2 linked regions of the Lytechinus pictus genome follow. The protein of the gene in region 1 interacts with the protein of each later gene in a biochemical or structural test. Links are inferred from orthologs where the notes say so. Each region holds a gene or a part of one and is shown on either strand. Other genes may lie near its edges.

Evidence for each region.
Region 2: the proteins of NEDD8-conjugating enzyme Ubc12-like (region 1) and DCN1-like protein 3 form a complex in vitro, tested with the Homo sapiens proteins (4 studies listed by BioGRID and IntAct). The link is inferred for Lytechinus pictus from reciprocal best matches to the Homo sapiens genes UBE2M and DCUN1D3.

What each region holds. Positions count from the first base shown.
Region 1 is NC_087253.1:11,992,601-11,996,359, reverse strand, and holds the start of NEDD8-conjugating enzyme Ubc12-like, read right to left. Parts: upstream 2,721-3,759; 5' UTR 2,517-2,720; coding exon 2,414-2,516; intron 611-2,413; coding exon 516-610; intron 1-515.
Region 2 is NC_087254.1:25,577,597-25,581,355, reverse strand, and holds the start of DCN1-like protein 3, read left to right. Parts: upstream 1-1,341; 5' UTR 1,342-1,464; coding exon 1,465-2,409; 3' UTR 2,410-3,759. UniProt on the Homo sapiens protein: Contributes to the neddylation of all cullins by transferring NEDD8 from N-terminally acetylated NEDD8-conjugating E2s enzyme to different cullin C-terminal domain-RBX complexes and may play a role in the cell cycle progression by regulating the SCF ubiquitin E3 ligase complex, after UV damage.

The DNA.
Region 1 (3,759 bases):
GACTAGATATAAAATTTGCTTTTATTCTAAGAAGGATGTTAGCATAGTCACAGATTTGAACATAGGGATTCGTACGATGATTTCAAACATTACGCAGTAAGATATTCCAAGTCTCAATATAAGCATCAAATTCTACTACGTTTTATTCCAAAATTGAGTCGCAGACCAATCGCAAGGTGTGCGGTGGCCTTAACATAAAAAAATATGTCTGATATTTATAGTTGATAAACTTGTTTCTATGCAGTCAAAGAAACGATCATATATTTTAGCTAGAAAAAGAAGTTGCATGGAATGTTGGACTTGCATACTAAAAATATTGTGCGAGACTATAACAATTTTTTTTTTTTTGGGGGGGGCAATATGGGCATTTTGTCCAGGTTCAGAATACAGGCCTATGGGTAATTCCACCTGAATGTAACAAATTAACAAGTGAAGATCAATGCAGATGTGACCAGTTTTGATTTTTTCAAATGTGAGGAAGGTTTCCGATATAAGAATTGAATATAAACACTTACTTCATCTGGCTGTATGGCTAGTTTGAAAACAAGTAAATCATCAGGATCAGGGAAATCTATCTGACATGTCTTTGGTAGATTCAGCTCCCCAAGATCTGAGCATGACAGAGAAAAAAAAAACAAATAAGAAATATTACACCAACTTCACATTCTGTTTTTAAAACAAGATTATGTTCAAGCTTAATGAAAATAGTGGCCCGAATTTAAAAAGGTAGTTTAATCTAGTCTTGAGGACTCCATGATGATGTCTTTTTAAAATCCTTTGACATATACTTCTTCATCATTGGAGTCTTGAACCCCCGCCCATATATGTATATGAGACCCAGGTAAACAAAGATGGATTTCCCTAGGAAATCCATCTTTTCATAAAAGAATCACGTAAAATATGTTGATTTTATTCATTTCTACACCTTCCTACGCCTAATGCGAAGGAAGGTTTTAAAAAATGGTCCCTAAAAATGTAAAAAAAATGAAGGTTTCTTACCAGACTGATGTCGTGTAGATCCCTCGATCCACATGTACACAATGCAAATACAATAGCGTCGACCCTTGAACCGCTTATGTATGACGTACTTCCGATTAGCGAAGCCATTTTGAAGAACAATTTATAGATAAAAATTATCATTTCACAAATACTACAATTTAACACATGATTTATTTTTAATTAGCAGTATTGTTATTATTTATAATCACGTAATAAATTTTAGTATTTGTGAAATAATAATTTTTATCTATACATTGTTCTTCAAAACGGCATCGCTAGTCGGAAGTACGTCATCACGAAGCGATTCAAGGGTCAGGTCTATTGTCTTTGCTTTGTCGACAAATGGATCGAGGGATCTACGGGAGATCGGGTCTGGTAAGAAACGTCTCATTTTTACCATTTATAGTGAAATAATTTTTATCACTTTATATGCATTAGGCGCCTGAAGGTTCATAGATAAATACAATTCGACAATACAAACCGATCTCACCCTCTAACTGTGATTAATAATTTTGCAGGTAAGAAAGGTTCACCAATTCAATTGTTCTTAAAGTAGACCAAAAGCTTCGGTCTCTGTTATGTTGGTTGTTCAGCTGAACTCCGTTGGCTTCACTCACCAAATACAGAGACCGAAGTTCTAGCGCGATCTGTACAGGGGACTCAATGACCATATGTTTATGTGTATAAAGTTCGGATAAAACAGGGCAGTGAAGTTGCGCGACAGCCGAGGTAAGTCACTGTTTTTGTTCCTTTTAACTTGATTTTCCCCCTTTTTTGGCAATTAATGCCAAGAGGGAATATTAATTTGCATTTCGGTAGCGTTAATTTTCAAAAAATTGATTCATTAAAGACAAAAATTGAAGAGCCCCGACGGGGGGATTTTGCATTGTAAGTCCCCTGATGGTGGCTGCACGATAGCGAGCCGTCTGTGTATGAGGAGAAATTTAAAAAATAAAAAAATGTTAAAAAACTCCTCGAAACAGACGGCTGCCTGCTGTCTATTCTTAAACTTAAAGTTGCTCTTAACTTACATTTTACAAACAGCTTTAAGAAACTCTCACCTGGCCTTGGGCTGGATTTTTATTCTTTTTACTTTTAATTTTAGTTAAATATTTCCTCATTATTTTGAGAAATTTGACAATTTATTATACTTTATACTAGAGTAGACCCCTAATCAATAATAATGAACAGGTTTGTGAAATTCTGAATCATTGATTGACATGGCATTCCAATGTTATATCATATTCATAATCATCAATTTAGATTTACTTTATTTCAATTTCAGAAGGTATTTCTTTTTGACGGTTCAGTATGTCATAAAAACATTCAAGCGAAGACAGAACAGCAAAGCGATGGACATTCAATTCAGCTGATCACGCACTCATTTCATTTCATTCATTCAATTCGACATCACCTTTCTGCAGTCGCAGCTGTGCAGCGGACGCTCTCTTCCCGTCTCCGTCCGACCGATCTGCGGCAGCTTCGGCCTGCTTTTTCAAGGAAAACAATTTAATCATCGTGCATTCCAGTAACACTTTCTCGTTGGCATCAACTCCTTCTTTTAAAAATTCAAGGTCTCTATCTGCTCCAATCTGCTATTCGTGAAAAAACATTGTCCGATTTCGCAGTCATCACCTTAGTTCCGCCTATTGTGTATCATGTATTGTGCAAGCTGCACGGAAGAAAATGTGTGTGCGTTTACAAAGGTCAAAGTTCACTATAAGCACAGTGCGCGCAAATACAACCCGCATCGGGATGACCTTAGATGACCTCAGGGCGGGGTTGCCGAATATTTGGGTTATTCTCTTTTTACCTTTTATAGCTGACTGTGGCAGTCCTATAGCTCTCGATTAGTACGACAATACACCAGACGGTGGACTGCACTGTTTCCAGAAGAAGAAGAAGATTAATCCGACGTCCGAGCTGCATGCATGGCCAATGCATGCAGCGTTTAACATTAATTTTTGTCTGACAATATAATCATGATAATTGTCAGATCTGACAAATTCCTTGATTTTGATTGGCTGAGAACAGGACTTGTCGGATAAAACATCAGACAAGTCCTTTAATGAAACGTATATCACTGCGACTGACTTCTGTTTAGTGGGGTAATGAGCCAGATCCGTTTTTGTCAATTTTGTTAGGATACTTAATTGTTGCCCCCCAGTTAGAAATTACCATACAAAAAAAAACCAAGCCGAATTTTTTAATAGGCCTCTCCGATTTTGAGATTGAGGATGGTGGCTGAGCCGAAGTTGGGGGGGGGGGGGGTGGTGCATGGGGGACCGGGCATAAAACTCATAATCTTATTAATTGTCGCTGCCCCTCCCTTACAAAAAATTCCTGCAGTACTTTAGTGGTACTCTGTTGTACCTGTGTGATACTTCTGTCATACACGACGGTACCTCAGAATTACCACAGGACTTCTGTGGTATCACTCTGTGATAGTTCTGTCATACTTCTGTGGTACAGGAAAATATGAAAATTTCCTGCAATACCTTAATGGTACTCTGTCGTACCTGTGTGATACTTCTGTTGTACAAAACTGTATATAGAATTACAACAGGACTTCTGTGGTATCACTCTGTGATAGTTCTGTCATACTTCTGTGGTACAGGAAAATATGAAAATTTCATGCAATACCTTAATGGTACTCTGTCGTACCTGTGTGATACTGCTGTTGTACAAAACTGTATATAGAATTACAACAGGACTTCTGTGGTATCACTCTGTGATAGTTCTGTCATACTTCTGTGGTAC
Region 2 (3,759 bases), on another chromosome or scaffold:
TTGAATACAGGTAGATTTAAAGAATGAAATGCACATTTTGATATTTATAAAGGTACATAACATTGCAATAATTTGCAATAAATTGCAACAGATTTCCTCTACACTCGCTCCTGACCTGCGTTGGAGCTTTTGCTTTTGTTTTGTTTGATTTTGATTAGAAATTGTAAGAGAAAAAGGAAAGAAAGAAAGAAAAAAAAATGATGGGGTGAATGAGTGAGAGATGAAGATATTTGGGAGGGGGTTGAAAGAAAAGAGAGAAAGTACATGCTTCTATGTACAATGTAGGGGGTATAGAACCTAAAGAAACAAATTTGCATAATAATAGGCAATATTTATTTTGGAAAAAAAGCTTTGTATCCTGATCAGCTATGGAGCAGCTGTATTTCTAGATTGAAGTTTATATTTAAGTAATCAAATGTCCACTAGTTAGATAGTATTGTGTAATTTATTGAGCTATATTTTATTATGTCTGGGCAGTGGCAATCTGTCAGAAAAAAAGACATGCTAGCCAGACTTAACTTTATGTACAATTTGAACCAGTGAACTATTGAATTACTGACCATTTTCATCTATACCTTCCGTTTAATGAGTGTAAATTGAAAAAAAATGTGGCACACATATTGTTTGTCACAAAGTGTTCTCTGTATTTGTACAGGTTTTTTAGCAGCTGTACTCTATCATAACACAACCGTAACTTGACCCCTTTTTATATCAAAGACAGACTCTCCATGCTGGTGATATGGTTCAAGTTCACTTCTGAACCAAAATAAAATGGGTAGTCTTTGTGATACATGTACATGTACATTGTAGGCTACATGTAGATTGTCTGTTATGATTTGTTCTTTATATTAATAATGATCTGGATATTATTAACATTTCTCAATCACTTTTTGACAGTTTTGTAACTCCACAATTTACAGTTTATCACTACTGAAATAATGGATCTTGGTCTGTCTTGCACACACAGAGAATATACAGGGTGTATTCACATTCTCTACTACCTGGGAGTACAGTATTCCAGCAATGCACCTGCTCATGCATAACAATATTCAATGGACGACTCATTAGGATGAATGAAACTGATTTAGAAAGTATTTGTGTGTTGGTGATATACATGCACATTTAGTTGGTTGGACGAGAGGTAGAGGGATGGTCATTTTGCTTGCCCATCGTGAGTGGCTCAAGAAGACTGGCTGAATTACTCCCCAGGGAATGAAGAATGTGCATACATTGTCAATTAGATTTTGTTTCTGGATGCTATACAATGTACAGTACACATTATTTGTATCATACTTGTATATTAATTTTCACTTTGTTGTACCTTTTTATTTTCCCAGATCTGTCCTGATGTTATTAATTTGAGGGACCTCTCCTCTATATGACCTTGTTTTGGTCCACACAACCCCAGTGCTCACCTATGGTCCCCAGGCTATCTTGCCCGGCGCCATCCACCAAGCCACCCTCATGGGCAAGTGTTTCTCCGTCTGCAACCCAGGTTCAACCAACGTGGAAGAGCAGAATGGCAAGAACAAAGCACAACTCCCTCCCAAGCCCCCTCATCATGCCACAGCTATAGAGCACCCTACTGCCCAACCAGTTCAGTACGTCCAACATATCAGCACAACCGGAGGCCGTGCAGGCAACCTCCCTCTCCGTCCTGCTGGGGACTCGAATAATGGTAGTCACAGCAGACCTGCGCATGACACGCACAAGCAGTTCCCCCGACAAAACGGTGTAGAGACAAACGCAGCCATGAAGTCAGACTTCTCTGAGCGAAAGGCAAACAAACTCTTTGAAAAATATAAAGATAATTCTGAGGATGCCATTTTGGCGGAAGGCACCGAAAGATTTTGTCAGGACCTTAAGGTCAGTCCAGAGGATTTTATAGTACTAGTCATTGCATGGAAGTTTCAGGCGGCAGTCATGTGCCGCTTCACGCGGACTGAATTCATCCAAGGTTGTCGCACCCTACGTGCTGACTCCATCAATGCTATCAAAGCCAAGTTTCCAGAACTGCGACACGAGGTCAAGACGAATGAAGCCATGTTCAAGGATCTTTATCGGTACACATTCGGCTTTGGCTTGGACACTGAAGGGGGCCAGAGAACTTTACCTTGTGAGATTGCAATACCTCTATGGAAGCTTGTCTTCTTCTACCGACAACCCCCTATCCTAGATCGCTGGTGCAATTTCCTGACTGCTAACCATGTTAAAGGTATATCAAGAGACACATGGCAGATGTTTCTGCACTTTGTAGAGGTCATTAAAGATAATCTCAGTAACTATGACGACAACGAAGCCTGGCCTAGCCTTTTTGATGACTTTGTGGAATATGAAAATGATAGATTGAAAACCGAAAATCAAGGTGGAAAGGAGGATGACGACCAAGAGGAAACTCATCTAGTGTAAAAAGAATATTAGGGATACCCATATTTTTAATTCATTTTCACTTGTTTTATTTGTGTCTTCTCCTTTTTCCTAATGCAAGGTGCTCCATTTGCTTCTTCATGGCCCTTTCAATTGCTGACATTAGTTTCAAAATAAGCAGTTACTTTTGTTTGACTGATATTCCAGTGACCAAGAATCTTACTCTCTTATTTTATTAGTATGATATTTTTGTGAACAAAGAAAAAAACTTGGGAGACTTCCATAATAACATGCACGGAAGAGTATAAAATGTAGATGTGCGTATTATGCAGCATCTTGTTGTAACGTATTTTTCTTAAAGCAGGAAATGTAATGACATGCAGGGATTATTCTTTACAAACCTTGGTCAAAACATGATCATATTTAAACGCATTTTTATCTTTGATACAGAAGATTAAGTTATCAGAATCCAAAGAATGCATTTGTACTTCTTGGTACTTGGATATATTTATTAATGGGTTTCCACATTATGTAGCCCTTAATTATTTGTAGAATGCATGTTTCAATGCTAAAATCCACATAAATATTCAGACTCAAAAACCTTCTATAACTTTGGAATGTTTTAAAATGTGTTTCATAAAATTACACCTACATGTACATGTATAAACTGCTCTTATGATTATCTGGAAGTTTAAGTGCCAAATTAGAGCCTAAACTTTGGCTGAAGTCTCATTAATTTTTTCATGTACTTCAAATGAAATTCCTGTGAATTTATTGCAAAATATACCGGTAGTCACAGAAACACGGCAAAATATAGTCATACACATGTACTGTAGACTTGGCATAAAAATATGTTTTCATAGGGAGAATGGTACTTATTCAAGAACTTTAATATAATGCAACTAAAAATGGTTGGTTGAAGAACAATCGCTTTCCATATCCCATCTGTTAATAAAGGCATTTGTAACTTTCTTTAATAAAAACAGCGTTATGATACACCCTTCCCCTTGAAGTATTGTAATGCACTTCAGAATTGTCAAACTTCATATTAATTTCTGGAAGATGTGATCACCCGACTCAAAGCCTACAATAAGTTTTTAAAAATAATTTTCATAAGTATCCCAATTAGAAGAGCACATTTTATGATTTAATTTGACAAAATTGATCGACCAAAGCCCATATAAATATTATGGATTTTAGATTTCTCATTCTTGACGCACAATCTTCTAATTGGGGGGAAAATATATATATATTTTTTTTGCATGAATAAGGAGGAGAACTCAGCATCTACATGTATGGAGGAAAGATTATGTGTCATATGAGGTTTCAGGGAGAGATTAAAAGAAGAAGAAAACTGTTTAATATTTAGAGCCCAACTGACTTTTCTGGCAT